6 linked regions of the Sus scrofa genome follow. The protein of the gene in region 6 interacts with the protein of the main gene of each other region in a pairwise test. Links are inferred from orthologs where the notes say so. Each region holds a gene or a part of one and is shown on either strand. Other genes may lie near its edges. The genes, in order: ZC2HC1C, BEX5, PLAC9, MTMR9, IFT20 and EMILIN1.

What was found.
Region 1: the proteins of EMILIN1 (region 6) and ZC2HC1C interact in binary tests that used the Homo sapiens proteins (3 or more experiments, as listed by UniProt). The two-hybrid records come from large-scale screens. The link is inferred for Sus scrofa from reciprocal best matches to the Homo sapiens genes EMILIN1 and ZC2HC1C.
Region 2: the proteins of EMILIN1 (region 6) and BEX5 interact in binary tests that used the Homo sapiens proteins (3 or more experiments, as listed by UniProt). The two-hybrid records come from large-scale screens. The link is inferred for Sus scrofa from reciprocal best matches to the Homo sapiens genes EMILIN1 and BEX5.
Region 3: the proteins of EMILIN1 (region 6) and PLAC9 interact in binary tests that used the Homo sapiens proteins (3 or more experiments, as listed by UniProt). The two-hybrid records come from large-scale screens. The link is inferred for Sus scrofa from reciprocal best matches to the Homo sapiens genes EMILIN1 and PLAC9.
Region 4: the proteins of EMILIN1 (region 6) and MTMR9 interact in binary tests that used the Homo sapiens proteins (3 or more experiments, as listed by UniProt). The link is inferred for Sus scrofa from reciprocal best matches to the Homo sapiens genes EMILIN1 and MTMR9.
Region 5: the proteins of EMILIN1 (region 6) and IFT20 interact in binary tests that used the Homo sapiens proteins (3 or more experiments, as listed by UniProt). The two-hybrid records come from large-scale screens. The link is inferred for Sus scrofa from reciprocal best matches to the Homo sapiens genes EMILIN1 and IFT20.

The regions. Positions count from the first base shown.
Region 1 is NC_010449.5:98,263,827-98,268,051, forward strand, and holds the start of ZC2HC1C (zinc finger C2HC domain-containing protein 1C), read left to right. Parts: upstream 1-1,425; 5' UTR 1,426-2,385; coding exon 2,386-3,696; intron 3,697-4,225. Other genes in the region: ACYP1 (acylphosphatase-1), read right to left, coding at 1,008-1,128.
Region 2 is NC_010461.5:83,606,998-83,611,186, reverse strand, and holds BEX5 (protein BEX5), read left to right. Parts: upstream 1-1,389; 5' UTR 1,390-1,620; intron 1,621-1,675; exon of another isoform or gene 1,676-1,995; intron 1,996-2,748; 5' UTR 2,749-2,807; intron 2,808-3,231; 5' UTR 3,232-3,259; coding exon 3,260-3,598; 3' UTR 3,599-3,821; downstream 3,822-4,189.
Region 3 is NC_010456.5:81,891,910-81,895,409, reverse strand, and holds part of PLAC9 (placenta-specific protein 9 precursor), read left to right. Parts: intron 1-2,266; coding exon 2,267-2,364; intron 2,365-3,476; coding exon 3,477-3,500.
Region 4 is NC_010456.5:14,488,974-14,492,473, reverse strand, and holds part of MTMR9 (myotubularin-related protein 9), read right to left. Parts: intron 1,985-3,500; coding exon 1,843-1,984; intron 84-1,842; coding exon 1-83. UniProt on the Homo sapiens protein: Acts as an adapter for myotubularin-related phosphatases. Increases lipid phosphatase MTMR6 catalytic activity, specifically towards phosphatidylinositol 3,5-bisphosphate and MTMR6 binding affinity for phosphorylated phosphatidylinositols.
Region 5 is NC_010454.4:44,611,385-44,613,683, reverse strand, and holds part of IFT20 (intraflagellar transport protein 20 homolog), read left to right. Parts: 5' UTR 1-64; intron 65-468; 5' UTR 469-628; coding exon 629-704; intron 705-863; coding exon 864-992; intron 993-1,985; coding exon 1,986-2,071; intron 2,072-2,299. UniProt on the Homo sapiens protein: Part of intraflagellar transport (IFT) particles involved in ciliary process assembly. May play a role in the trafficking of ciliary membrane proteins from the Golgi complex to the cilium.
Region 6 is NC_010445.4:112,034,170-112,036,928, forward strand, and holds part of EMILIN1 (EMILIN-1), read right to left. Parts: intron 2,271-2,759; coding exon 336-2,270; intron 1-335. UniProt on the Homo sapiens protein: Involved in elastic and collagen fibers formation. It is required for EFEMP2 deposition into the extracellular matrix, and collagen network assembly and cross-linking via protein-lysine 6-oxidase/LOX activity.

The sequences.
Region 1 (4,225 bases), on a different chromosome or scaffold from region 6:
CTGGCTCAGTAGTAATGAAGCCGACTAGTATCCATATGGATGCGGGTTCGATCCCTGGCCTCACTCAGTGGGTTAAGAATCTGGCGTTGCTGTGAGCTGTGGTGTAGGTCGCAGACGTAGCTCAGATCAGATCCCGCGTTGCTGTGGCTGTTGCGGAGGCCAGCAGCTACAACTCTGACTTGACCCCTAGCCTGGGAACAGCCATGTGCTGCGTATGCAGCCCTAAAAAGACAAAACAAAACAAAACAAAAGAGAGAGAGAGACTTCATGGAAAGACAAAAGATTCTTCTTCCTCAGAAACAGGAGCGAAAGAAGTTAAAATGGAGGGAGGCACCCTGGGAAATTCTGCCAGACTGGAGGGGAGCTTAGGGAGTTGATGACAGACAAGCCCCATGCTGAGATAATTAGGGCCTTGAGAAGAGTGGGAAATGTCTGGAAATGCATACATAGAGAAGGCAGTGGAGAGTCAATTAGAAAAGAAAACAAGGCATAAAAGTACTGCCCTTGGAGTGCCACCAAGGAATTTCTTCGTAACATGTAAAAACTGTAATATGACATATTAAAGTATTAACACCGACCACTGCTGTCCGTATTGTTCTCCATGGGCATGAATCTTTTAAGCAGTTACAGGGAAAAAAGTAAGCTGCTTGTTCCAAGTAGCTTACACAAATGAATTGAAGCATAAAGACAAACAAACCTTCTTCTGATGTTAACAAGTTACAGAGCATCTTTAGTGTTGAAACCAGGTTATATTGAGTATTTTGGATCTGGTAGTTAACTTTATTATCATTACACTTGGTTGAGTCACTCTTTGGCCGCAAGAAGAGAGGATCAGAGTTACCACGTGAGAGTAAAACATTATATCCAAATAATTAGATTGGCTACGAAAACGTCCCCGGAAAGATACTGCAAAAGACACCGCGTAGCAAAACCTAGCCGATTTGCTAAAATTTGACGCAAGCTCCAAACTATTTGCAAGGAAAGCCATGGACAGTATACAGCCGTACCTGGGGCCCGTACAAAGCAGCCGAGCGTGCTAAGAAAAGCTATCAGTATGCCCACGGCGGCTAAGAGGGCGGACACCGGAATCCTGCGGCAGGTCTTGAGGACACATCTAAGGCGCTCCATCTTTTGCCAGAGAAGGACACACCCCAGGACCTGAAAGCATCGCTCTGAGAAAAAAAAAAAAATACAAGCCCTTTGATGGAGCCCCAGAAAAGCCTCTCCCACCCTCTTCTCCCGTTCCCTAAGGGCAGGGCTGGACGGAGCTGCAGAGTTGGTGGGACACCGGGTCAAATGACACTCGTGTTGACCGCGCCCGCGACCGGGCGACTCCCGGGTGTGCGGACTGCGGCTGCGCACGCTTCTCCGGTGGAATTCGGGGCGTGGCGGGACTGGGTGCGCATGCGCTTCGGTCTCCAGGCAACAGGAATAACAGAGGCCCGCCAACAGCGCCTGCACGGCGGCGGGCGGTTGGGAGGGTGGTGTGTGGTCTGGAAAACTAAATTCTGGGGTTTCCCCTGAGCAGGAGCCGTCTGCTAGAACAGGTACGCGGAAGGGCGGGAAGATATGGGGTCAGCACCTCGACCTCCCAAGGGCCCGAGAGACTGAAGAGCGAGCACTTGTCCCTAAAGCAGAGTTTCCAGTGGGGCTACCCGGCTGACCCTCCAGGACAGAACAGGACTTATGCGTTCCGGATATGAACCCCGCCAGATCAGGTGTTCTCCGCCTCTCAGGTTACCGACCTTCCGCCATCTGCGCTGCGAGGACACCTTGCGAGAGGGTTTGCCAGCCAGGCACTTGCTGCAGGCCTTGAGCCGGCTCTCTGCACTTTGGGGTCCAGCACGGTTCCAGCAGGCGGGAAGTCCTGAGAGCAGTTTGTGCCAGTTGCTTACCAACAGGCTGAAGTTTTCTACCTGTAAAATGGTGGAGCGGGACTTGGAGTCCTAAGGTCCCTAAGTTCCAGCCATCTAACTCTTAAGTGAACCCCTCAGTTTACTGGTGAAGAAACTGGAGCCGGCGAGGGGATGCTGCTTGTCCTGACTGAAAACTGACTTTCAGCCCAATAGCTCATTCCGCCTGCTACGGAGTATACTGTGTAAGCAGGAGCATCACTATGTATGATATATATAAAGGAAAGCTAGGTGGCAGGAACACCTGTATCACATTCCCTTTTTCTATCCTTAGGACCTAATAAGCACCCATAGGACATAATAAGCGCTTATCAAATGCTAGACCTAGCAGCACTGTCCCTAAAAAGTCTAAGGGAAACTGTGGGTAAGACAAGTGTAGAAATAGTTTACTTTCACAGCTGAGATGAACCTCAGACAAACTCCTCACATATGTCTGGTTTAAATCTCCCCTAGGCTTCTGTCCAAGCCCTGAATGGCTGGCCTCCAGTTGGCACTGACTCTGCCTGTGGGCATTATGTTCCCATATAATAAAAGGGAAGCTCCAGAGCTCCATTCAGTTAAGCAAGATCCCTATGAAAAAGGTGACTCTTCCCAGCGGTCTTCTATGGGGCACCTGAGGAATAATTTCCAGCAGGAGCTTTTGAGCAACAAAGAGCTGACACTAGATAAGCTCTACACTCACCCCAAATGGAACACCAGCATGAAAGCCTGGAGCTGCTCCTATCCCCACTGTGCTGAAATAAGCCAGCAAGATTCGAGAAAAGGTTTGTTTTACTCATCAGGCCCTCAATCCCAGTATCCCAAAGCAAATATCCAGGAATTCATCCCCTTTACAAAGAAGCGAGTTGGGGTGGACCGAGCATACCCACTGAAACCTGTGTTTCACCGGAAGTCCCGTAGTACAGGTGAGGCTGGCACTGATGGGGACCAGAATGTCTCTCTAAGATCCCATCAGCCAAGAAAGCTCTCATACAGCAGTTTTGGTTCAAGGAACTGGGTGAATTCATCTGTGGTTGGTTCCGTTGCTGCCACTCAGGAGGAGAGGGTTGTGGCAAACCCCAGCAGGATGGAATGGATGCAGATCCAAAGACTAGAAGCTGCAGGGGAGAGTTTAGAGGAGGAAATCCGAAGAAAAGAGACTCTCCTGAGGGAAAAGCTGAAGAAGACAGAGGAGGAACTCAGAAGGATCCAGAAGAAGAAAGAACAGGCTGAAGAAAATGAAAAAAGAGAGCTACAGAGGAGAATGGCACTACCCAGGAGGAGAGTTAAAGGCAAGAGTAACACCTCACACAAACCTATCTTCTCCCCAGAATTCAAGTCTGCGGAGGTCTTCAGTAGAGATGTAGGAGACGATGAAACTTGGGGACGGTCTCAAGAAAATTCTAGTCCATTCCAGTTCTCTGATCATGGAATTCAGAAGCTCAAAAGGGAAGGACTGATGGCAAGCAATAACCAAATCCGAGACCGAGTCTCAGGGCCGCTGAAGGAGAAGTTTTCTCAGGCTTCAGAAATGCCACCCAGTGCTTTGCAGAGATCTACCTGCCATTCTAGCTTGTCTAGGGCCCCAGACTCCTTGGGTTCCAGCTGTTCCACTGAAGAGCCAGAACTGGGTGCGTGCAGCCACTGTGGACGGAAATTTCTCTTGCTCAGACTTGAGAGACACTCCAATGTCTGCAGCAGGATGCGGGGTTCCAAGAGGAAAGTCTTTGACTCCTCCAGGGCCCGGGCTAAGGGCACAGAACTAGAGCAGTACTTGAACTGGAAGGGATCGGCCTCAGTCAAGGTAACAAGGGCCTTTAATGATTTGCCTTTGAATGGGGGTGTGAGCCTGTTATATCCTCATCTGTTTTCTTTAGAAAAATGTCATGTGTCATGCGTCATGTGGGGAGAAAGCGAGAATTAACATTTATTGATTACTACTGTGTGCCAGTCACTGTGATATTGTCACCACAACCCTGGGAAGATTTCAGTATCTCTTTATCAGTTTCAAAATTTAGTCTCAGGTTAACTTGTCTGAGTTCACAAATAGCTTTTAATGGCAGAGTCAGCATGTAAATCTGGGTCAGAATGACTCCAAAATGTAGAATTAAAAAATATGTCCTTTTGATTATAAAAGTAGTAAACATTTTAGAAAATTTAAGACATGAAAAATATAAAGAAAAAAATTATGCAGTGTTTCAGCACTCCCAGAGAATTCCTCACACTTTGCAATATACCCTGCCACCTCCCAAGATTAGGACCTGTTACCACTCCTAGAACTATACTTTTTCAATTAACTTTGATGAAACTTCTTAGTAAATATATGAGGTACC
Region 2 (4,189 bases), on a different chromosome or scaffold from region 6:
CTATTTTAGAGGCCATGCTGAAGTCTTTTTGTAAAGTGAATTTGCACTAATGTAATTTAAATATAATTTCGAGGGGACCATAAATTTGTCACAGCTTCTCAAGATCCGAAAATCCACCAGCGAGACTCCATCAGATGCACTGCCTCATCTCATAAAAGGAATGCACAGAGACCCTTCACAAGGGAAGCCACCAGCTTAGGTTTATAGTTCAAAGTCCTTAAAAGAGCAGTAAGGGAGTTCCTGTCCTGGCGCAGTGGTTAACGAATCCGACTAGGAACCATGAGGTTGCGGGTTGGGTCCCTGCCCTTGCTCAGTGGGTTAATGATCCGGCGTTGCCATGAGCTGTGGTGTAAGTTGCAGACGCGGCTTGGATCCCGGGTTGCTGTGGCTCTGGCGTAGGCCGGTGGCTACAGTTCCGATTCAACCCCTAGCCTGGGAACCTCCATATGCCGCGGGAGCGGCCCAAGAAATGGGAAAAAGACAAAAAAAAAGATCAGTAAGTGTGCTGTCCGGAGGGTCTACATTTATAGGATAATTCAGCAGCAGAAACAGGTTGCCAAGTTTTTGGAACCTGAATCTTATTTTTCAACTGAAATTAACTGTATTGTTTAATTATAACAAACAAACAAAAAAAATGAAATCAGGAGTTCCCGCCGTGGCACAGTGGTTAACGAATCCGACTAGGAACCATGAGGTTACAGTGTTCGATCCCTGTCCTTGCTCAGTAGGTTGAGGATCCAGCGTTCCCATGACCTGTGGTGTAGGTTGCAGACGTGGCTCTGATCCCGCGTTGCTGTGGCTCTGGCGTAGGCCAGTGGCTACAGCTCCGATTCGACCCCTAGCCTGGGAACCTCCATTTGCCTCGGGAAGCAGCCCTAGCAGAGGCAAAAAGACAAAAAAAAAAAAAAAAAATGAAATCATGCGAATGGGAAATTGAACAAAATTAATCACCCACCCCTTCGGAAAAAAATAAAAGTAAAATAAACAGGGAAATAATTAAGGTGAAGTTTGTTTTTTTTAATGTTACCTCTTATCTATTTTCCAGACTTCCTAGCTTTGTCCCCCTCACCTCCCCCGCCCCGGTTCCAGCCTGGGACAAAACCAACAAGACTGATGGGGAAATTCTAGGCTTTATTTGCTGGAGAGGGGAGGGGAGAGAGTGGGCATTTAATAATATAGAAGAGGAAGAAGAAATTCTTTAAAAGCTTCGACAGAAATCAGGGAAAAGGCAGATACAAATGACAAAATATTGTGACCCGTTTGGTGTCAAAGATTGCTAAATAGGAAAATAAATAAATAGATAAATAAATAGATACAAAGGGATGGGCAGTACCCAGGGGTCTTGGTAGGGAGAGGAAGGGAATGAGGAGGAAGGTGGCCCCGCCCACACTCGCGCTCCCAATCCCCAGCCGCACTGCAGGTACAACCACAACTGGGGACCTGAGTTTAGGGTGACGTAGCCCTTAAGAGACCTGGAGTGTACGCCTGTAGTACTCCATCCTTACAGTTGCCGGCAGTAGCTCTTTGTGGCTGTGCGCGAGCTTGCTATTGCCTTGAAGGCGGGCGAACCTGTACCCTGGGAAGGAGGAAGCCTCAGAAGCTGACAGCTATCCTCAGCAGGTTGGCGGGCACTCAAAGGGGAGGGAGCGGAGGGCCTGAGGGCAAAGACAAGAGCGGGTCCGGGACTGGAGTCACGCAACCCTTTCCCGCTATGCGCTTGTTTTGTGCAAGAAATGGAGGGTTTGTGGGAGATCGAGGGGTCAAGGGTTAAAAATGGTTACCAGATGGGATCTCTTAGGAGGTGGGCGGTCGGGCGACACCTGGAAGGGAAGGACCAGAAAAGGGGACTGCAAGGAAACGGCCTGAATCCTGCAGGGCGACAGGAGGGGCGCGCAACCTGTCACCTGGGTTGGAGACTGCGAACTCTGCAACGGGTATAGGACTCCATTCCCGGTGTTGCTTCTCCACCCTCCTTCCATTTTGGAGCCGGAAATGGTGGGCTACAGGAACTCGGGGGAGGGGGGCGGGGACCCAGGCGGCTGCAGCAGACGATAGGGGCGGGGATTTGGTCTGGGAAACAAGTCCCTTCTGTGGAGAAAACATTCGATCTGGCGAGCTACCGACTTAGGGCTATAGCTGGGGAGCCAGAAACAGTTTCTGGTCCCTTCAAGTCGGTTTAAGCATGGGCATTGCCTGAGGACCCTGTGGGTAAGAGTGACAAAGTGGTCACGCCCCAGCAGTTACAGGTTGCAATGCCCACGTTACCTCTTCGCCCTTCATCCATCTTGATGCATAAAATGGTGGGCAGTGGAAGGAGAGTGAGCTCCAGAAGGCCACTGGGTCCCAAAAGGTCCAGGCAGGTACCCAGATTGAAATTCTTTATAAATAAACCGCATACCTCTTAGCAAGCTCTTCAGACTCCCCAGCCCTGCAGAGTGTCCATTTGAGTTCAATAAATGGTAATTAGGAGAAGGGAAGGACAAGACAGTGGAGATAAGGGGCCTAAAGAAGAGGTGAAACTAGTTTGGAGGTGATGATTTATTATTATTATTACAATGCCTGTTTCTGAAAGGCAGGGTAGCACATCATGGGGTGGGAAAAGAAACTGTGAGACAGGAAGGTGGAGAAAGAGAAGGCAGCAACATTTGACTATCTGAGTCCTAAACCAACAGCAATGGAGCTGGTGCCCTGATACTGGTCCTTGAATCAATTGGTCAGCCCTGGCCATTGCTGCATTTCTGTCTGCAGGTCCACTGGTGCAACAGATTTCAAGGCTAAGAGAGGAAGACTACTTCTGATCCCTGCAGGTATGGAGGGTGCCTGGACCCTCTAGTGTAGGGGTAACAGGAATCAGAACAGAATCTGGAGGACTCCCAGCCCTCCCTGCCTGTGTTAAGTGCAGGAGAAACCTGATTTTAGAAACTGGACCTGTGGCTGGTGAGGGAAGAGAGGAGAGGGACAAGCTCTGGGGTGCCCATGGAGAGCTTACCAGGATCCCTGGTAGCTAAGGCCTGCTCTCTCAACCACTGTCCAGCCCACAACCTGTCCTACGTTTTGGTGCTAGGAGTTGCCCAGGGAAGGATTTTTAGGGAAAATGATGGGCTTTGAGTTAGGGCTGGATCTAGGGCGCCTCCTGGAGGGCCTACGAAGTATCTGGTGTGAAAGCCTTTGCCCACAAAGCTCTGAATCCCGTCATTTACAAAGCACTCAATCCTCCTTTTTGTCTCCTAGGAAGAAGAAGCAGGAAAGAAATCTCAAGATGGAAAATTTTCCTAAGGAAAACAAAGGAAAGGAGCAGGCTCAAATGCGGAATGAAGAAGCCCACCCTTTTGGAGGTGGTGAAGGCCAGAGGCCTGGGGAAAACGTTCCAGGGGACTGGGTTCCACCTGCCCAGGATTTTAGAGAGGATTTGCCCAATAGGCTTGTCAATAACATTGACATGATAGATGGAGATGCAGATGATATGGAAAGGTTCATGGAGGAGATGAGAGAGCTGAGGAGGAAAATTAGGGAGCTTCAGTTGAGGTACAGTCTGCGCATTCTTATTGGAGATCTTCCTCACCATGACCATCATGATGAGTTTTGCCTTATGCCTTGAATGCTGAGGTTAATAATCATAACCCCCCTGCTTCCCAAAATTGCATTTTCTTGATGTACCTTTTACTACGAACCTTTGGTGTTCTGTCATTTTTCTGATTGGAGATTTTGTTTTTACTTTTGACTTAGTCTGTAAGTTTTTCTGTCAGCGGGGGAGATTGATCAACTTGCATGGGAAGATGTCTATTCCATATGGTAAAGCTAATAAAGCAGGTTAAAAAGCAGTCTGTAGATGTACCATCTCATTTAAAATCATGCCAAGACTGGGGATCTGGTAGATGGACCCTTGGTTTTGGACAGGTTCCACCACGCAGTCATCACTGCTTCTTACCTAGACTGCCCTTCTCACAGTAAATATATTGTCCTATTTGTCCTGGTACCCTCAGTGCATAGCATAGGGTGTGATAAGTTGTATGAGGGCACAACAATTAACTATAGCTGAGTGAAAAGTCCTGCAATCTGGGCCCAGGTTTGTCTCTGATCACTTGTGAGCAAGTAACTTTCTTTCTCTGTAGACTGGAGCTTACAACTGAAAAAGGAACACAATGGAGAAAGCATTATATATCAAATTCAACACATGGGGATTTCCTGT
Region 3 (3,500 bases), on a different chromosome or scaffold from region 6:
TTTTGAAGTAAAGCCAAGATCTCATAGCATTCCCTCTCTATTTCAGTTATGGAACTCTGAAAGACTTCTCTGAAAAAAAAATCCCCTGAGTGGAAGTGTTGGGATCCAGATAGACCAGGAAACATCAGGGCATGGAGATTCTGTAGAGCTCCAGAAGGTCATCTTGCTGAGGTGGGGCCAGGAGAAGGCCAGGGTGCCTGGAGTCCAGTCATTTGCTGACTGTGTGACCTTGGGCAAGTCAAGAGTTACACATTCATCACTAGCAAAATGGCTCCCCTCTCTGTCCTTACCTTAAGACCTGCCAATCTTCTGGGCAACTTTATATAAAGTCCCCTTGGGCCATCCCAGCCAATACTGAGCGTCTGAGAGTTATAAGAGTTCTGTGTCTACAAAGATCAAGTCTAATAACTCTTACCCCTACTCTGCTTCAGATGCCCACATTGCTCTCAGAAAATAAAGCATTTGTCAGTTTCCACAGTGGAAATACTCTCAGGGTGACTCCCACTTTGGTGGCTATATCTAACAATCCACTCAGAATTCCTGAACGTTTTACAAATAACTCTCCTCTTTCCTAATTCTATATGAATTTTCAACAGATGGTTCACCTCTTACTTTACCAAGTGAAGAGATCCCGTCAAATGGGACTCACTCAACTTCTTGGCCCTTTAGGCAGAACTTTTGTGCCCAGTTTTGCTGCATGTCCTCTCTCTTCCCTCCATGTGTTGCCCTGGGCCCCTACCACCATTTCTGGATTCCAGGCCTCACGTGTCTTCAGGAAATGCATTCTTTCTGTTCTCCTGTCTTCTGCCTGTCCTCGGACTATAAGCATGGTTTATTTTCTTCATCATTAAAAAACCTGGAAACAACCACAATGAACACTTCTCTAGACCTTGTGATCTGATCTCCCTTCCTTCACAGCCAAGCTTCATGGAAATATTTTTCAGGATCTAAGTTTCTCTTCTGATCTATCCTTCCCTTCTCATCCCACCAGGGTCTAGACTTTGCTCTGCTTCCATCTCTCTGCTGACAGTACTGGGGGTGCAATTCTGCATTAACTTTTCTGTTGCTCTGTTTTTCAATCTTTGTTGTGCTATACCTCCCTTCTGCTTTAGGCCGTACTAATGTTTCATCCTCTTTAAATCTCTTTGCTTCTTGTTTCTGGGCAGTATCCTCCTTCCTGAGTGTCCATGTGCTCCAAAGTTCCAGCCAACTCAGATGCCCCCAGAGCATCTAGGAGCCTCCAACACTGCAACCTGAGCTCAAAACTGGGGCTTTCAGGAGTTTCTGTCATGGCTCAGCAAAAACAAATCTGACTAGCTTCCATGAGGATGCAGGTTCGATCCCTGGCCTTGCTCAGTGGGTTAAGGATCTGGCGTTGCCATGAGCTGTGGTGTAGCTTTCAGATGAGGCTCTGATCTGGCATTGCTGTGGCGTAGGTCTAGGGGTCCAATTTGACCCTTAGCCTGGAAACTTCGACATGCCAGGGGTGTGGCCCTAAAAAGATGAAACAAGCAAAAACTGGGGCTCTCAGACTTCCGTGTGAGGGTTGGTGGTGCCAGAAATATCCAAGGAGGAACCATTGTTAAGTAAGAAAATGAGTCAGGAGTTGAACAGGGTGAACCTCAGATCTTCCGCTTACTAGCTGTGTGACACTGGACATGCATTTAATTCCTCTGTGCATCGATTTCCTTATGTGTAAATTGGGGATAATTGGTTGTTGTTTAGCACCTTGTGTGGTACATAGTGAGTACTGGTCAAATGTCAGATGTTACTAACTGTTCACCAGTGTCTGTGCTCTTAGTAAAGTATCTCCATGCATTTTCTTCCTATGGCTCCTGTCTCCTTTCATCACTTTTTACACTGATAACTGGTAACTTCCTGCCCTCAAAGACAAATCGCTCCAATCCATTCTCTGTATTTTTAAAAATTCATATATGACTATGTGATTCTTCTATTAAAATAAACCCCTAAACAAGCATCATGATTGGTTTATTAGGGCCCCTGGTAGATCCCTTCCTTACCTTACTTGTTCAGGCAGCACCTCCTTGAGGAAGCCCACTTGGGTCTGTAGATGACCACGGGTCTTAGAGACAAGGGAGTGATTGGGGCAGCCCCACACTTGTATGCTGACCCACCCTGTGCCTTCCTCTGCCTCTCCTTGGACAGTTTTCAGGAACCACCTCTCCTGAGCCCAGTACTTTGCAGGAGTCTCCAGTGTTACAGGGAAAGTGAGGGCCCCATAGTGACAAGACTTGTTTTCCCACAGCTGCTGAACCCTTCATCCCCTCTGGAGGAGACCCGTCTCGGAGCACAGCATGTGACAGATACATGGCTATCCACAGCCGATTGAACGTCATAGAGGAGGTAATGAGGGTGACCTGGGGGGACTTGCAGCTTCAGAACCACCTGCCAGGCTGGTGGCTTTGGAGGGCTCAGGCCAAACTTGCTTGGGAAGATTGAGGAAACCTAGGCCAATCCTGCTCCCTGGCCACCATATTAAACATCTCCCTGCTCTACCTGGGCTTTTAGGCTCACGGGCCCCCAACAAACTCTGCTTCCCTCCCGCCCCAGGCTTTACTTATCTCCAGCCAGAGATCTCTGCATAATCTGGACAAGAAGTTTGAAATTCAGTCACTGTTTTGTTATCCAGCCACAGTTTGTAACCTGGCGTCCATAACTACTGTGGGGAAAAAATTGCACTTTATTTTCAGAAAGCTTTCACTGAAATTTAGTATTCTCATTCATTATAAATGTAGACAACAAATCATAGTAATATTAACAGTACTATGACTTTGTCATCAGTAGAAATCAGCTAATTTAATCACATTATAGTCATTGTGTATATCTCAACATATCATTTATTCTAATTGGTATGTCAAAATTTCAGTAGTTGTTAGACTTGCTACTTAAATAAGTTGTTAAATAAATTTTATTTTTAATGCTTTAATAATATTTTAATTAAATTGATGTCCTTGGAAATCCTATGTTTTATTTTTTTGATGAAAGCGTTTTTCCAGTGGGAGGGTCTGTAGGTTTTACCAGACTGCTAATGGGGTTCATTCACAAGAAAAGAACCCCCATAAAGAAAATTTCGAAATCCCCAAACTGTCATTTGGCAGAATTGCCACGAGGGGGCAGGGCAACAAAAGGAACGTGAACTCACAGCAGTGAAGTCTTGAAAGAGAAAAAGGAATCCCAAAGTCCCCCCATGAAGAACCAGAGACTGAATGAAATCACTGTGTGGAGAGCCAGGAGTGGCCTTAGAGAGTGAGCCCCTAGGATTTTGTCATCTGGGAAACTGAGAGGCAGGCCAGGGCAGAGCCTGAATTAGGAGGACCCAGGTGCCTTGGCACCCAGTTCTTTCCCCACAGCACCCCCCAACTGGACTGCCAAGTGTTCCTTAGGATGTGGCTGATTAAGCAGGGCTTGGCACCACTCTTGTCTTCTGCTCCTCCCCACCCCTCTCCTTGCTCTAGACGGTGGAGAAGACGGTGGAGCAT
Region 4 (3,500 bases), on a different chromosome or scaffold from region 6:
AGAAGAAATACAGGTGACTCCCACTTCTGCCTGCTGTTACAATAGGCTGACTGTGCACAGCGCTGCTGGAATGGGTGACCAGCCTAAGAGGAGAGATGGAAATGTGACAGTCATGTCCTGGTGGGATCACAGTATAGCACATTCTGTTAACACATTTCACACGGCTGCATCAAAACTATTATTAAATGGAACATCATATATTTTTGGTGGCTGCTCTTTAATGGATTTCGTAGTTTAAGACAATCTTCAGCACCTAAGGGAAAAGACATTAATTTCCAAATACCTTACTAGCCTATGCAGTTAGCCATGAGAACTGCAGTTGTTCTTGGTATATCAAATAGAAGGATAATGAACTTCAGCGATAATAAACATAAATCTTTCGAGGTCTATGAAATCTGGAGCAAAGTCAAAGAACATGAGCTCTTGCGGTATGAAACAAAGGACAGCTATCCTCTTCTGTCCAGCCAAAGCACTGCAGATCATTGTGAGCTGTGTAAGCCTCACCACTAAATGGAGATAAACAAGGGGTTCTCACAGACAAATTTAACAGGTCACTCCTGATATTGAACTTTTAATTACATGCAAAAAAAGTTATGTCATGGAGACATCTGTGTGAATACTTTTATATTACAGACCAAGCTGTCCTTAGTTTCCCTCTCCTTCTACAAGGACCTGGAAGAGGCTGCCATCTACTGACCAAAGGAAATTTAAGAACCATTAGGCTCTCTGGCCCATCTAGAACCCGAGTTTATCCCAAGAGTCACACCCTTCTGGGTTTTAAACAGGCCTGCTTTATCTTTGGGTCCTCATACCACTTTATCTGGTAAAGCTAATAGCATGAATGTGAATGGGATTTTGATACCCATGAAAATGGTAATATGTTAATAAGTAAATCATACTCATTTGTCTGCTGTGCATCACATGGAATGTAGCTGAATAAGATTTGCATGAAATATTTAGGACGGTCTGACTTAGACATAAAGGTTAGTTGTCAGAGTGGGTAGACTCAGTAAACATAACAGTATTAATACATAATAAACCCAAACTGTAACCAGAAGGGCCAGAAATGATTTTTCTCCAAAGGTACTTATACTTTCAAGATATATCTAAACATTATTTTCAATCGCAATATATATAGTAAGTTAACACAGTATATATACATCTATAAGTTAAACTCCAGCTTGGAAGATTTAAATCTATTTTATGACACCTTTATTTTAGCTGTTCTTCAGCATTAAATATGACAGCACTGTGTGGTATCCTAGGGATAAACAGCTGAATTCGGCAAGGCTCCCTGACTTCTCTGTCACTGTGTCTGGGTATAGTTCAGGAAACAAGGTGTGAGGAAAATGGGTCAATTTTATCCGTGAAGGAAGTCAGGGTCCCAAAGACTTCATGAAAGCAGCGACATTTAGCTGGATCTTAAAGGATGAGAAGGATTTCACATGGCTGGGGAAGACAACGGGATGGAGCCAGACAGGCAGAAGGTAGAAAATGCTAAAGCACATGCTGCCGCCGCATATTTACAAGTCCCCACTCCTCCTCCCCACCTCATTTATGACTTTTATCTCTAGCAAGACAAGACTATGTTACCTACAGGGGAAACACAAAGAATGTAAAAGTACAACTGATACGGGTTTCTTAGGGGAATGAAGCGCCAAGTGAACAATGTGAGCAAAGAGGGAGGCAAAAAGATTAGACATTAACTAAGAGGAAGATGAACTGTCCCCCCAGAAAATTAAACATACAATTTAAACATTTGAATCAATCAGAATTCCATATATTATGTCCTTTCCAACAAACCAGATCAAACATCAAGTGTGAGCAAGCCATTTTTCTCACCTGCAGCCACTCTCTTTCTATCAAGGCCTCAAAGCCACGGATGGTCCTGCTTCTTGGCTCCAAGATGATCTGGGCCAGGGACGTAACCTGAAGTGTGGAATCAGTTCCTTCTGTTCCATGAATCAATATGGATGCTCCTTCCCTGATAGGAAAACCCAGAGTACAGATGGGACACTCCCAACATGGTCAACAACTCTTGTTAATAACATGTTTGAGCCCAATATTTCACAGTCTTGCATTCTGCTCTGTCCAGTAGGGCTTAGAGGCTAAATAAGGAATATGAGGAGAGTGTCCCTTGGGGAAAATATGAAACTATAATAAGTCCCAAATTTCACATGGCGAGAACCTGTTTATTTGTAACAAATTTCATAGAACCATTTAGCTTGATTTTTTCTTTCTTTACAAAACCACAAAGCAGACCTTATCAAACTCAGTAGGCACTGACATTTTCTGCTTTAATAGTTGACTAAAGCCTTTTCTCATCAAACTGAGAAACAATTATTTTTCTGTATCTCTCTGACCTTGCTTCTACCTTTCTGCCATCAGCTTACTGTAAAGACTGCCTTCATAAACTGTAATGAATCTGGAAAACAAGTCCTGAAACACACTTTGAGAAACATGAAAATAGGAAGAAAAATTTTTTTACATATATATATAAAACTGTCAATCTAGAAAGTCAGTGGCAATGATACTATCACAACACGCTGTATGAAGTGTCTGGAACTCCATTATTCTAAAGAATGAAAGGAAACACTGAAAACTAAATTAACTACATCTTCTCCCCTCTCCTCTTTTTATTGAAGTGACAGTGAAGGAAATTGTGGGAAAAGGAAAATAAGCTCACTACTTTCCTGTAAGTTTCATGTTTGTCTACTACTATTAATTCCTTCCCGGAGTTCCCGTCATGGCTCAGTGTTTAAAGAATCTGACTAGGAACCATGAGGCTGCAGGTTCGATCCCTGGCCTTGCTCAGTGGGTTAAGGATCCAGCGTTGCCAGGAGCTGTGGTGTAGGTCACAGATGCGGCTCGGACCCCACGTTGCTGTGGCTCTGGCGTAGGCTGGTGGCTACAGCTCCGATTCGACCCCTAGCCTGGGAACCTCCATATTGCCGAGGGAGCAGCCCTAGAAAAGGCAAAAAGACGGGGGGGGTGGGATTCCTTCCCCATGTACAGATATACTTTATACTTTAGCACAGCTATAATGAAAGGTAACTTATTATTTCCATTTTTATTATAAACATTTTCCCATGTTTCTATGTCATCTATAGAAGTACTGTATTAATAGTTACATAATACTCTATTAAGTAATAAACTACAACATACTTAATCCTATAGTTGGACATTTAGGTCACTGCGAATTTTTCCTACATTGTAGGTGGTATACTTAGCTTTTTGTCTTTTGCTGAATTATTCTAGAGTTCTTAATTTGAAAACAAGACTCCCTGATGTTCACTTCTGGTTAACAATCCCATTCTTAGGATGAAATCTAATGACTAGACTAAAGGGTATGGGCAAATATTTTAGGGCTTCTGATATATATTGGATATATAGCCTAGTTATCTGTAGTATGCTCTAATTTTAATTCATCTAACCTAAGGTCTGTTTTTACATTTTGAGTAATTATTTATAAAGAAAGATTTTTATGGAACAGTAAGTAA
Region 5 (2,299 bases), on a different chromosome or scaffold from region 6:
GCTTCATGCTCTTGTCCAGGCTGTTTTCTCTGCTCGGAATGCCTTTCCTTGACCTCCGTACTTGGTATGTTCTTGTGGATACGTCATTCCTTTTTGTGTTTTCTGCTGGAAAAAGACTGACTCAACTTTAGGTCCCAGTTCAGGCCATTGTACCTGTGGCATACATTGGGGGCAAAATTCTTACACCTGGCTTCTTATTTTTTTTTACCCCTAATTTTTAATTCACTCAGATTTTCTCTTTTACTTGCTTTTCGTATTGTTCCAGTACTGCATTCGAAAAGCTCTTTTATGTCCTTTTGGGTTCATAACTGGGGATACATGAATATACTTATGGCTCACAACTCAGTTCATGTATCACTTCCTTACCCCAAGTTAGCTGTTCTGGTCTCCTCCAGCACTTTAGTGATGTACCTGTAAACGCACTTAACATGGTATGATTTTTCAGTGCATATGTCTGTCTTCCTCCAGCTAAACTCTGTGCTCCTCCAGGGCGGGCACCATGTTGCACTCATCTTTGCCCCCAGCATCTAGCAGTGTTGGCATGTAGTAGGCACTCAAGAAATGTGTGTTCAGTGAACGATGCCTGTGACAAGCAACCGGACTTTATTCTTTCCTGACCCTTGCTCCTATGACATACCTCCTCCTGGCTGCTACTGTCACCCCTTCAGAGCAGAACTTCTCTAGGGAAGCCGGAAGGGAAACAGGTGAGACTCAGAGAGGCGGAGGCAGAGGGAAGGGGAAGCCTTTGGAGCCTCTGGGTTTCTCACTCTGGTGTCCGGGGCCAGGACTGGGGGCTGGGCTAGAAGCAGGCATTTCCTTGGGTGGCTGGGAAGTGATCGGGATTGGGGCTGGTTTCTTTACAGCTATGGCCAAGGATATCCTGGGTGAAGCAGGGCTGCACTTTGATGAACTGAACAAGCTGCGGGTGTTGGACCCAGAGGTTACCCAGCAGACCATAGAGCTCAAAGAAGAGTGCAAGGACTTTGTCGACAGTGAGTGTCGTGTGGGGAGACACGGTGCCTTTAGCTTGGAGCTCTTCCAACTGTGCCCCACCCCCACCCCTGACTGCAGCTCTTGGCCCTGGCCTTTATGAATCCCATATTCTACCCACCTTGGCTGCCTGCCCTCTTCTGCTCTCCTGCAATCTCAGAGCACCAATCAAAATAAACACTGCCATGGGGAGAGGAGGGTGTTTGTTTAGATCTGCCAGCTCAAGAACCTTAAAACTTCAGAACTGTGTCTTAGGGGTGGGAAATGGAGTTATGATTTGATTTCTTGGGAGAAATAGTGTTCTTGGTGGCAGACTTGCCATTATTTGGAGTAAAAGTTGATTAACTGAGTTTCTAAAGGCAGTTCAACAGACTCAATGAAGTCTTTTTTTTTTTTAGCTTGAGATAGCCAGAATGGCTCCTGTCCCAGCAGCCAGGCACATGCAGTAGCAGTGAATATGGAGCAGAGCTAGGCAGGGATTTCTGAGCCTCCCAGGGGCTCCATAGGCTATACAGAGAGCTTGACTGGTGAAGGTAGCTTGGGTTCTCTGGCCAGTCTTCTCATAGCTTCATGTTGTTCTACCCTCTGGGCCTTAGTTTATTCTTAAATAACATGGGGTTCCACCACACCCAGGGACTTTGAAAAAAGGCAAATGGGTGATTATGTCCTTAAATGCTTTGAGTTTTTTAATAGTTCTTGTCACAGAAGGAAAGCCCCCACCCGACTGTTAACTGAGATCTGGTGTCTGATCTGTGGTTTGTCTAGAGGCAGCGTTCATGTCCTGAGCCAGTGGGGACTCAAGATCCAAGTATGTCCCAGTCCAGCTCTGGGAACCTAGCCACCCTTCTCTAGGTTCAGACCAAGGGTGGCAGATATCAAACTTTTTTTGACAAATTAGAAGGGACAATTAGCCCTGCCTTCCTACACCAGTGGAATGCTGAGGGAGAGTGGTGATGCTGAGAAGATAAAACACTTTTTTGTTCTTTCTCTCAAAGAAATCGGCCAGTTTCAGAAAATAGTTGGTGGTTTAATTGAGCTTGTTGATCAACTTGCAAAAGAAGCAGAAAATGAGAAGATGAAGGTAAGATCAGCATGTTTTGTCTAATCTTGTCCTGGAACCCTGGCTCACTAGCCTCTCATCCTTCTGCACGCTTGACTTTTGGGGGAGGCGTTCTATAATTAAAACAAGATTTTAAATAACAATTCCTATACAAACATCACATTATGTTGTACACCTGAAACTAATATGTTATTTATACCTCAAAAAAATTCTTGATGAGAGTAGCATATACACACTTCTGTATAAATG
Region 6 (2,759 bases):
GAGCCATACAAGAAGTTTCCAAAGGACAAGGAAGGGGGTGGCTCCGCGGACAGGGTGATGGGGGCCCCTGCTGCCCATGCGGGATACTAGCTGGCAGAGCAGCACCCTGCCTCCGCCCACAGGCCTGTCCGAGCCATCAGGGGAGGGCGGGGAGCTGGGACCTGGCTCGTCTCTTGCGTCCCAAGCCATGGGACAGTGTGGGTCTGTAATTCATGTGGCACAGGGCAAGGAGAAAGGAGACGAGCTTAAAGCTAGGTTGTTGTGGGGTCAGGGGAAGAGAAAGAAAGGACTTGAAAGGGGTCCCCCCGACACCGAGCCTCCTCTTGTCCCCTCACCAGTGAGGTCCTTCAGACTGAGCTGGTGAAGCCGGTCCTCCAGGAGCAGCAGGGAGCTGTTGAGGGCACCGAGCCGCCTGCCCAGGCCGGCCTGCCCCCCCAGCAGCTTCTCCAGCAGGGCTGCCTGGGTCTGGCTGGTGCTGTTGGTTTCCCGTAGCCCGGCCCAGAGCCCAGCCACGTGTCTGGAAAGGCCTTCACGCAGGCCCTGCAGTCCCCCGGCCACCGTGTCCAACCGCTCACAGACTCCTTCCAGGCGGCCCAGTCGCCCCTCTAGGCTGGGGCACTGGCCGGCCTGGGCCTGTCCCTCTTCCAGGCCCCGGAAGCGCTCCTCACTCTCTGTAGCGTGCTCCGTGGCCTCCTGCTGCAGCCTGTTAATCTCAGAGATGATGCGGTCCTTGGTGGCTCCCAGGTCGGCCAGATCGGCACCCTGGCCCTCCACGGTGGTCTGGAGCTCGTGCAGCGAGTCGTTGAGCGAGCTGAAGGTGAGAATGACCTCGGAGAGCTCTCCTTGCAGGGCCTGGAGGGCTGAGCCCGAGCTGCCCCCGAACACGCTGAAGCCATCCAGAGGCCCGCGGCTTGGTCCCCCAACACCCGGGCCGGCCCCAGGGCCCCTCGGGGGTAACAGGGGGCAGGAGCAGCGCTCCACGCCATCCCGAAGGCGGCCCAGTTCCTCCTGGACACCACCGCAGGCCCCACAGCCCTCATCCCCTCGGGCCTGCAGCAGACCCTCCAGCTGGCCCAGCCGCGCGGCTGTGAGATTCTGCTGCAGCGTGAGCTCTGCGGCCGTCTCCTCCAGTGCATCAACGCGACCCTGGAGCTGGCCCACGACCCCCTGCAGCCCCTCCAGCGCGGCCTGCTGGGCCTCCCCAGCTGCTCCCACCTTGTGCAGGCCTGAGCCCACCAGCCCCAGCTGCCCCTCGGTGTCCAGCACCCTGCGCTCCAAGGCGCTGAGGATCTCACTGACCTGGGAGTCCTGCTCCCCTGGGGCCCCAGAGCAGAGCTGCCCACATGCCTGCACAGCCCCTGCCACCTGCTCTTCCAGCAGATCCAGCCGCCCCCCCAGCTCCCCGCTCACGTTGGCCAGCAGCCCCTCCAACTTCTCTAGTTGGCCCTGGGCAGCAGGTAGCCAGTGGCTCAGCCCCCCAGGACGCCGGGGCCAGCCCTCCTCCTGCTCCTCCGAGGGGCCCAGGGTGGAGTTGAATCGGTCCTCCAGGCGAGAGAGGCGGGAGGCTAAGCTGGTATAGCCTGGCGGGTGGCCCCCCTGCCCAGCTGCTCCTCCCAGGTTGGCGCCTCGTCGCCCGCTCAGCACCGTCACTGAGCCGGCCACTACATCCAGCCTCCGCTCCAGCTCGGCCAGCCGCCGGCCCAGCTCCGGAGGGCAGCATTCCTGAGGGGGCCAGCGGCCCAGGGCCTGCCCAGCGAGCTGCCGCTGCCGCTCCTCCACGGAGGCCAGGAGCTTCTCCAGGGCTCGCAGCCGCTCCCGGTCCTCCTGCTGCTGCCGGCGGAAGCCATCCAGCCCCGCCAGGCACACAGAGCAGGACTCCTGCAGCCGCTGCTCCAGCTCCCGCAGCACTTCCTCGCTGTGGCCGGGAGGAGCCGGGGTTGAGTCCAGGGCCCTGCCGCCACCACCACCACCGCTGCCACCACCACTGTGATGGTTGTTCAGATGGCCCAGCTCCTGGTCGTGGGTGGAGACGCGGTTGTCCAGGAGCTGCAGCTGCTGCTGGATCTCATTGAGGGTTTCGTGCACGCCCGGGCGGGCAGCTGCATCTGCTGGCTGCTGCCTCCCATTAAAGGCCGTCTCCACAGCCCTCTGGACATCTTCTGCCAGGCGCCCGCTCAGTCCCTGCAGGACACCCCGAAGGCCCTGAAGCTCCTTTGTCAGGCTCTGCACCTGCTCCTCCAGCTGCTGCACCTTCTCCGATTCCCCAGGACCTGGCGGAGAGGGAAAGGCATGATGAGGCGGGGGAGCTAGACCTCAGAGCTCAGGGCCCACCTCCTAGGAGCTGACCTCCCCAACTGCAAGCAGAGGGCAGAGGTCTCGGCTGATTTGGCCATTCCTTAGCTGGGTGACCTGGGCAAGAAAAGATGGAAGGAAGCTCCATGCACTGAATGCCTCTAAGCCAGCTGTCCACCACGGCTCTCTTCCCTCGCAGCTCCATTAGGCAGAGTCCATTAACCCTTTCCAATTCATGGACTGGGAAACAGAGGACCAGGGAGCTTAATTAACTGGGCCATGGCTATCAAGTTTTATACGTGGCAGAGACAAGTTTCAAACCCAGGTCATCCGTCTGAGCACCAAGCCCAGGTCCTTTCCACTGACCAGAGTGCCTCTAACTTTACAGAAACTGTTTCCACATTTGAAAAACGGGAATGACACTGTCACCCCCTCAGAGCAAGGGAAATGGGAATGTGGGGGAGGCC